Danio rerio: one gene and its partner. The protein of the gene in region 1 interacts with the protein of each later gene in a pairwise test. Links are inferred from orthologs where the notes say so. Each region holds a gene or a part of one and is shown in the gene's direction. Other genes may lie near its edges.

Region 1 (5,186 bases):
AATTACCATTTTCCTTCAGCTTAGTCCCTTTATTCATCAGGGGTTGCCACAGCAGAATGAACTGCATACCTTTCTAGAATGTTTTACACAGCGGATACCCTTCCAGCTGCAACCCAGTACTGGGAAATATCCATACACACCACTAATCCACTATGGCCAATTTAGTTTAGCCAATTCAATTACAGGGCATGTGCTTGGACTGTGGGGGAACATGCAAGCTCCACACGGTAATGCCAACTGGCTGAGACTTAAACCAGTGACCTTTATTGCTGTAAGGTGACAGTCAGGACCGGCGCGTCCATTGAGGTGACCTAGGCGGCCGAGATACCTCCCTTACCATCCACATCCTCAGTTATGTCCGCGACACCTCCCTCACCACCAGCGTCCTCAGATATATTCGAGCATAGACGACAGAATAGAGAGGGCGGCGTCAGCGACACTTCCCTCCCTCCCTCCCTCCCTCAGCACCCGCGCTTCCTCAGTTATATCCGCGCATAGGGCGGCAGAATAGAGAGCGCGGTGTCCGCGACACCTCCCTCCCTCCCTCAGCACCCGCGCGTCCTCAGTTATATCCGTGCATAGGGCAGCAGAATAGAGGTCCGCAACACCTCACTTTATTTTCATAACCGGTCACTTTCGTTTTCACATTGGGGTTGAGGGCGGCGTGATCGTCCTCTGCCTACAGCGGCAGTTCAGCTTGCTCCGGCCCTGGTGACAGTGCTAACCACTAAGCCACCTTGTCAGCGTTGTTCTTATTTACTGACTGAATTAATAGATGTTGTGTTTTCTGATGATTTAACTCTCTTTCTCTCTCTCTCTGTGTGTTTCTCAGATGGCGTTCCGGCTGCTCGCGCGGAGAGTTTCTCGCATCTCCGTGAAGGATGTGCGCGTCCTCGTTCTCCCCAGCAGCAGCTCCAGCAGGTCCTCGTTCTCCTCCTGTTTTCGTGCCGCACCGCCTCTCCTCTCACGCTCGATCCCGCGACTCCCGTACATCACCAGCAGAAGTGTGTCGTTTAACGTGCAGGATCACGACGACTTTACAGAGAGGGTGATCAACAGCGAGCTGCCCGTGCTCATCGACTTCCACGCTCAGTACGTAGACGATCATTTCATCAAAACAACAACACAACAATAAATACAGTTGAAGTCAGAGTTATTCGCCCCCCTTTGATTTTTTTTTTTTTTTTTTTTATATTTCCCAAATGATGTTTAACAGATTTAGGAAATTTTTACAGTGTGTCTGATTATATTTTTTCTTCTGGAGATATTTTATTTCGGCTAGAATAAAAGCAGTTTTTAATAAAATAAAAAAAAACATTTTAAGGTCAAAATAATTAGCCCCTTTAAGCTATATTTTTCACTAAGAGAATAAGTGGGGGGAAATGGGGGGGGGGGGGGGGGTAATTCTGACGGGCTAATAATTTTGACTTAAACTGTATATACTCACATGAAAAAATACTGTATTCATTTGTATTAAGTTCATTTGTATCGTTATGGCAACAAAACTATAGTATTTAATCTGTTGTTTTTTGTAATTCTATGGTTGCTATGGTAATACAACAACTATAGTAATTAAGCTGTTGTACTGATTCCATAGTTGCTATGGTAACACAACGGCTATAGTAATCTGTTGTGGTGATTTTATAGTTGCTATGGTAACAAACACAGTAGTTAATATATTGTGGTGATTCTATTGTTGCCATAGTAACACAACGTCTAGTAATCTGTTGTGGGGATTTTATAGTTGCTATGGTAACACAAAAACTATAGTAATTAATCTGTTGTACTGATTCCATAGTTTCTATGGTAACACAACGACTATAGTAATCTGTTGTGGTGAATCTACAGTTGCTATGGTACCACACCAACAACTAAACCAAATAATCTGTCAGGGTTATTCCATAGTTGCTATGGTAACACAACAACTATAGTAATTAATCTGTTGTGGTAATTCTATAGTTGCTATGGTAACAAAATATTTTGGCCTGATGAATATTGATTGATATTTTGAAATGAATATTATTAGCGCTGTCAAATGATTAATTGCATCCAAACTAAAAGTTTGTGTTTACATAATGTGTGTGCGCATATATGTTTCTATGCTTATTTATATGTAAATACAAATACTTAGATATATTTACATTTTTATATTTTATAAATGATAAATTATTATTGTTATATGTTATAAATTATTTACAAATATTCATATTTAAATATTATTAATAATAATAATATTTTTTTTTTCAAATAGAAGTGTATTTATATACAAATTATATAATAAATATATGAAATATAAACTTTTTTATGTACTGTACGAACTTGCAATCTGGATGAAATTATTTGCAATTAATAGTATGATGGTGATATACAGTTGAAGTCGGAATTATTACCCCCCCTTTCATTTATTTTTTCTTTGTTAAATATTTCCCAAATGATGTTTAACAGAGCAAGGAAATGTTCACAGTATGTCTGATAATATTTTTTCTTCTGGAGAAAGTCTTATTTGTTTTATTTCAGCTAGAATAAAAGCAGTTTTTAGTTTTTTTTAAACACCATTTTAAGGTCAATATTATTAGCCCCTTAAAGCTATTTATTTTGTATTGATAGTCTACAGAACAAACCATCATTATACAATAACTTGCCTAATTACTCTAACCTGCCTAGTTACCCTAATTAACCTAGTGAAGCCTTTAAATGTCACTTTAAGCTGTATAGAAGTGTCTTGAAGAATATCTAGTCTAATATTATTTACTGTCATTATGACAAAGATAAAATAAATCGGGTATTAGAGATGAGTTAATAAAACTATTATGTTTAGAAATGTGTTGAAGAAATCTGCCCTCCGTTAAACAGAAATTGGGAAAAAATATAAACAGAGTCTCTAATAATTCTGACTTTAACTGTATAATAATACAATTAAATACTATGATTATATATTATTATATCTTTATAATAGTTATGACATTAGAAATGATTTGTATTGTATATGTTTATTAGTTCTTTAAATTAGTCTTTTACCAGCTAAAAATGTTTTGTTTTGTCCTTTGCTGTGTTGTATCAATAGGAAATATCAGCTTACATTTCCCAACATTATTTTTGCTATTAATTGTAATAATCAAGTCAGATTAAACTGAAAAGATTTATTTCAGAATTATTAGACTTTCTAAGTATTTTTAAAAACAGGAAAATATTTCTATTTACATAAAACCATTTTATCAGGTGAAAATACTACTAGACCGAGGCGTTTTCACAATACTGTATATACAGTTGAGGTCGAATTATTTCCCCCGTTTATTTTTTCCCCCAATTTCTGTTTAACAAAGTGAAGAGTTTTTTCAGCACATTTCTAATCATAATAGTTTTAATAACTCATCTGTAATAACTGATTTATTTTATCTTTGCCATGATGACAGTAAATAATATTAGTTTAGATATTCTTCAAGACACTTTTATACAGCTTAAAGTGACATTTAAAGGCTTAACTAGGCTTAATTAGGGTAACTAGGCAGGTTAGGGTAATTAGACAAGTTATTGTATAACGATGGTTTGTTCTGTAGACTATCGAAAACAAATAAAGCTTAATGGGGCTGATAATATTGACCTTAAAATGGTGTTTAAAAAATTAAAAACTGCTTTTATTCTAGCTAAAATGAAACAAATAAGACTTTCTCCAGAGGAAAAAATATTATCAGACATACTGTGAAAATTTCCTGAATCTGTTTAACATCATTTGGGAAATATTAAAAAAAGAAAAAAAATCTGTGGGGGGCGAATAACTCTGACTTTACCTGTATCTGTAAATATTTGATGAATCTGAATCTGACATAAAGGTGTGTGTTGTGTTTGTTGTAGATGGTGTGGTCCCTGTAAAATCCTCGGCCCGCGGCTGGAAAAGGCCATCGCCAAACAGAAGGGTCGAGTCACCATGGCCAAAGTGGACATCGATGAACACACAGACCTCGCCATCGAGTATGGGGTACGCTATCCGCATGCTCAAAACATAATGTATCTGAACATATTTTGGACATTTAAAATACATATAAGATAAGATTTCCCTGCATCACTAGATTAATGGCAAATAAACAAAAAAATAAAGCTCTTCTGAAACTTTAAGAGAAGTAAATAAATCTTAAAGAGAATTTAAAAAAATAATGACAAAAACAAATGACTAAAAATGAACATGAAATTAAAAACAGCTTTAGTATCAATAATACTTTAATATAAATAAATAATCTATAAATGCTTTAAATAGTTACAAATTAAAATTATATAAATAAAACTAAATTAAATTCAATTTAAAAAATCTGATTATTGACTTGCTACACCTAATCTAAACCTGAAATAAAAATAATTAACATTATGGACATCTTTAAAAAATATAAATAATACACTCAATTTGCGATTATTACTGTTTGCGTTACACTAGCTCCTGCTTTCCAGCCATGCGCTTCCCTTAAAAAGAGGTGCAACAGTCCAGTTCTCAAAAAACAAACTTTAATCTGGTTGATGGATGTAGAACTTTCAAGCATTTATAATTGGTGTGCTGATAGGTGTGTTTGTGTGTATGTGTGGTTTCCTATAAATGAAGAAAATACAAATTACCACACATTGAGAATTACTGAAACTAATCATGTACATTTCAAACATATATGTGACATTTAAATGATATAAATTGTGTAACACAACAGAAATCAACATGATGACGCTGTTATAATAAACATACATTGCTTATAATGGCATCATTAATGTGTTGTATAGTCACAATAATTAACAAATAACTCACAAATCAAGTACTGTTCGTTGCAGTTGAAAAGTGCATGCAAACAACATATTGGAGTTAACTTGAACATTTGTATTGGTAAGCTTAAGTGAGCTCACAGTGAATGCCTTTGAGGCAGAAAACTGCTTAGTCATCCTCATAGTAATATAATGTAAGGAGAGTCTTTCCAAGCTAAATATTGATAATAAGTCTAACATTAAGCTTTAAAGATTACTTGTCAATAACGCACACAATAAGCACAAATTATAGCAAACACCAAGAACAATCTTCACTCCGTCTCGAGCACGCGTGATTTACAACAGTGTGACTAACTGAACGCTAACTAGATGAAGTGGTTATAGACCACACCCCGTGAGTTATTTCCAGTCCTATACTGCCATCTGTTGGTGCAGTTGTGTAACTCTGA
Region 2 (5,186 bases), on another chromosome or scaffold:
GTCTAATAGACATCTAAACATTAACTAGACTAATTATCGTGCTCGATGCTTCATCCATGTCTGGTGTGAACCATAGACTGTAAAATATATGGACGTAGTGTTCGTGACGTCACCCATAGGTTTCTAAAGAGAGCAAAAGAAGCCACAAGTAGGCGTGGCCAACCGTCACCATTTTGTTCGCGCGTCATCACACCCACGGCGGGATACCAAACAAGGGCAAAGAGGCGGAGAGTGAGCGGAGAGTTTAGCTTGGACCTGGCTCAGACACACTTTACTTTGGGAGAACGCTTAATACTTCATCACCTGCGACTCGCTTGTGTTCTGACCACTTGTGCTTGGTTGTACACTATATCAATAAAGTGTTTAGACTTTTAAAAACACTGCTGTAATATATTGAGCCTCTAAACATTGTTCTTATGACGTTTTTCAACAGGAGGAAAACATGAATTACTTCCAAACACTTCAGATATAGTCTGTGTTAGTTAATGTGAGACTATTGATGAAATCCAGCATAACACTGTATGACAACGCTTCAGATGACTGATCTAGAGCCTACAGCTAATCAATCTGACAGATTCTGGAGTGCATTACAGCTCTAAATATAAATATAAACGATTAAATAAAACAAATACATGTATAGAGATGGTATATAAGTATATAACTTTACTCACATGGGAAACGGAGGCCACGTGAATGGTTTGTGTGCACAATTAAGTGCACTCAGCATGCCATGCCATCTAATAATTGTAGGAAACAAGTCCAAAAGGCAGTTGACTGTGTAAAGCTACACAAAACAACACAAAAATACGATAAATATGCCGAGATCAGTGGCTAATCTGCAGGATTCAGCTGAGGTGACGTGACGGCGACCAACGAGATCTAGCTGTCACTCAAGTGGCCACGCCCTTAATTATGCAAACTTAATATAAAGGAAACGGATGAGTTATAAAAAAATTCACCCCCTCACAGTTGTCATGAAGGGTAATATTAGCTGTATTAACCAAAATCTTTTTTTGTAGCAGGCTGTAAACACCTTTTATCTGCTGTAGAGTTGGCCATTCTAACAGTGCGCTCAATTGAAATTTGCTCTGTTTTGGAGCAGGAGCGGCCAGGACTAGCGGAATTTCAGATGGATTGCAGTTTTAGTTACTTCCATATTGGCTTCCTGAGGGAGAGCGGGAGGTTGCCGCTTGATGTGAACGCACCATTAGAGTACTTTTTTTTTTTTTTTTTTTTTTTTTTTTTTTTGTACAAATGACTGAACTAAATTTAAAAGTTGCATGCACATACATTAATTAAATTGCTTAAAAATGCTCTCAATTTACAAAAGCTCCCTAAATAAAGCAGAAGATTACTTATTATTGTTTATTAAATTAATTATTTTATTTTTATTATTTTGACAAACACATTTATTTAGGTTTTGTTTGAGAGACTCGTAATTAGGAAGTGTTTTTTTAGAGTCAGCTTTTTTGCACAAATGCTCTCATTTTACAAAAAGCACCCTAAATAAAAAGGTGGAACATTGCTTATTATTATTATTATTATTATTATTATTATTATTATATTTTAACTATTTATCATTTTGACGGACCTATTTTTTAAAGTTTTGTTTGGGAGACTCCTATTTATGAATCTGGCTCTAGGATTGGGTCACAGAGCTGAGACTGTCAGTTTTGTCAAAGTAGCACAGATTATGTGGTGACTATAATCATGTGCACATGGAAAAGGGGTTAAAATTGTTCCCAAAATGAGAAGGAATGATGCTTATATATTTATTGACATATTCTCTTTCTCTCTCTCTCTCTCCAGGTGTATGGAGATATAGAGTACGCTATCATTATACGAAATAAGACCACTGGTGACAGCAAAGGTCTGGGATACGTCAGATTCCACAAACCATCACAAGCTGCCAAAGCCGTTGAAAACTGTGATAAGAGTAAGAGTCTCATTCTCCATGCTTCACCACTGCCTGTTGTATTTAGATGTGCTTCTAATCCGTCCTCCTCATCAGCTTTCAGAGCTATTATAGCAGAGCCCAGAACCAAGAATTCCTCAGCAGACAACGACTATTTCAGCAACCCCAGGACGACGGAGCACTCCACCAGTGAACTAGGCTCCAGCTCATACGCATTTGGTATGCATCATCTGCACAGTTAGGGCACTGCTCACCCAAAAATGGAAGCTTCATTTACATTTACAAGATATTTTGAAGAATGTTGGAAACGAGCAGCCATTGACCTCCATCCAGAAATAATATGGAGGTCAATGGGTCTCATTCACTAATAATAATAGTGTACGCTTCTTATACTTAGTCCAACAGCGGTGTCTACTGGTGGATGAAAGTTCAATGTGTGTTTAGTCTATCCAGCTCACAATGTTGAATTAGTTTAAATTTAACTCATGTTTGACTCCAATTTTTCAGCACTTAGATGCGAATTTATCCTCAAATGTGGCGATGCGCTAAAATATTTGTCAAACAAATGTTATTTAAAAAAGCATATATACTTAATAAAACGGTAAAAGAGACTAAAGTGCATGGTCTAATCGGAAATAGTGGAAATTAGTTATCTATTTCATTCATGCATAGATAGAAAAATTAATTGATCTGAAACTTTTAATTGCATTTTTTTTCCTGTAAATAATAAAAACTGTATCAGATTGATGAAAATGAACCTGAATACCTGCGTGAACAGGGCCACAATGACTTTTGTTTTTACATCAAAACAATTGCATACAGTGTCTTCTGTCATCAAAACTGGCAAACGTGTCAGAAAAAACTGCTCAATCTCCACGAATATTTGGTTCGCTTATAAAACAAATGTTGTCTGGTTTAGTGGTGTTAGTAAAGCATAGAAAAACGCAAAGCTCTGCATTCCTCGATTAAAAACACTTGCAATCTAGACGCAGTCACCTCATGCTTGTGATGCGGTACAATCCGTAAACATCCTCCTATTAAAATAACGGCTTGGTCTTTATGCTGTAAAATCACTTCGATATTTAATTATTGATCGTGGGCCAAAAATATCGTTATCGTGATCATAATACGATTAATCGTGCAGCCCTACATTACATTAAAACAGTGGTTCTCAAACTGTGGTATGTGTACCACTAGTGGTACGCGGACGAATGAAATGTCATGTGCATGCTATATATATATTTCAAAATTTATCAAAAATGATGTATATAATATGCCATATATGACATATAGCCTATATTTCTGAGGTAATCTGCCACGTCTTTTTTTAACTGTGCAGAGTTGTAGCTGCTTTACTGGGCCTACTACGCTACTGTATTTTAATACTGCTCATATTGGTGGTACTTGGAGAGACTATTTTTTTCTGAGGTGGTACTTAATGAAAAAAGTTTGAGAACCAATGCATTAAAATGAGTGAAGCATGACCGAACTGTCATTTTTTTTGCCTTGTGTTTTTGTCTGAAGATGAATGCTGCACAGCGTTTGGTTGTCTGAAGGTTTATTGTCCTCATCTGGTGTTTTCCTGCAGCTCAGGAGTCCAGCAGCTACAGCGCAGCAGAGTCCTATAGCTCTGACATCATCACCCGCTGCCTGATGGTGTCCTCGCGGGTGTCCGTCTCACAGGAGCAGATCTACAGCCTGTTTGACCTCATCCCGGGCCTGGACTACTGCGAGATACAGAGAGATCAATACGGCTTCAGCAAAGGTGAATAACACTGCAGTCCTTTGTCTACACTCAAGGAAAAAAAGCAAAAGCTGTCACTGTGGTGAGGAGGAAATGCTAAATATTGACATGCTTAACAAGTCACTCATTCATTTATTTTATTTTCGGCTTAGTCCCTTTATTAATCCGGAGTAACCACAGCGGAATGAACCGCCAACTTACCCAGCTCGTTTTTACACAGCGGATGCCCTTCCAGCCGCAACCCATCTCTGGGCACACACTTATTCACACTCATACACCATGAACAATTTATCCTACCCAGTTCAGCTTTACAGCATGTGTTTGGACTGTGGGGGAAACCGGAGCACCCGGAGGAAACCCACACGAGTGCAGGGAGAACATGCAAACTCCACACACAAACGCCAACTGACCAAGCCGAGGCTCGAACCTGCGACCTTCTTGCTGTGAGGCGACAGCACTACCTACTGCGCCACTGCATCACCCGCTTAACAAGTCACTTAAAGGTATTTTTTTTAATCAGTATGTTAGTCTTAGGGATATCTATAAGCTAATGAGCTCCAAAACGATGACAAAAATTACACTTAGAAGATATAAACTTGACATAAATCACCTCGTACTTCAGTTTCTCATCAAATCTTCTGACCAATCAAATGCTCTATTGTAACTGATATGCCCCACCCCCTTCTCATTGCCATCGCCGATGGCTGACAAACTTCACGATGCTGAGGCGGCATCGTGATCCATCGCCCCGCCCACATTTATATTGATATATAATTTATTATTTGCATGTCATCTTAATAGCAATAGTGGTCTTTTCATGAGCTGTGTTAAATGTTACCTATAGCTGCCGCTTGCATGGCTGACAGCATCGACTACACAGCACCTCTCACGTTTAACATGTGTAGATTCAGTGGCAAACGCTGTTACCTGTAAACCCCGTCCCACAGACTTTACAGTGAATGCTTTAGTCATTTTCATAGCGGACTTGAAGCCACTGGAAGTCTTTCACCACTCTTGGAAAAGTGTAGATGGTGGATTAACATTCAGCACATGATCACTGATGAGATGTGTCATTATCAGTAACTTTAGGTAAATCTGTCAGTGTTATTGTCATTCTCTCATCTTCAGCGCTTCACATTTTCGCGGTTGTCGCTCCTGTCAACTGAAGACAGAAGGCATTGACGGAGTGATTGACAGCTGATATTAACCAATCATTCACGTTCAGTTCTAGAGCAGTAAACCAATAAGAAGAGGACAAAGAAGGCGGAGCAAGCATTGCAGGCTTTTTTCACTTCAGCAAGTTCACATAACAGCTGTTTATCTGTTCCTGAGTGCTGCCTTTGGCATTTTTTGGTGCATTCTGCATAAATGTCACTTGAATCCGCGCATGCGGTGAGGATTTTGCAGTGAAAATTTTGATGCCCAAATGCTTCCAAATATATTTTAAGGTCACGTAGATAAAATTTTGGACGCATATGCGACCAAAATGATAAAACCCTTGCATCTTGTTATTATTTCCTCATAATA

What was found. The genes of interacting proteins can lie anywhere in the genome.
Region 2: the proteins of txn2 (region 1) and rbm45 interact in binary tests that used the Homo sapiens proteins (3 or more experiments, as listed by UniProt). The two-hybrid records come from large-scale screens. The link is inferred for Danio rerio from reciprocal best matches to the Homo sapiens genes TXN2 and RBM45.

What each region holds. Positions count from the first base shown.
Region 1 is NC_133178.1:3,500,957-3,506,142, reverse strand, and holds part of txn2 (thioredoxin, mitochondrial), read left to right. Parts: intron 1-832; coding exon 833-1,092; intron 1,093-3,852; coding exon 3,853-3,976; intron 3,977-5,186.
Region 2 is NC_133184.1:1,466,867-1,472,052, reverse strand, and holds part of rbm45 (RNA-binding protein 45), read left to right. Parts: intron 1-1,809; coding exon 1,810-1,936; intron 1,937-2,011; coding exon 2,012-2,134; intron 2,135-3,503; coding exon 3,504-3,680; intron 3,681-5,186. UniProt on the Homo sapiens protein: RNA-binding protein with binding specificity for poly(C). May play an important role in neural development.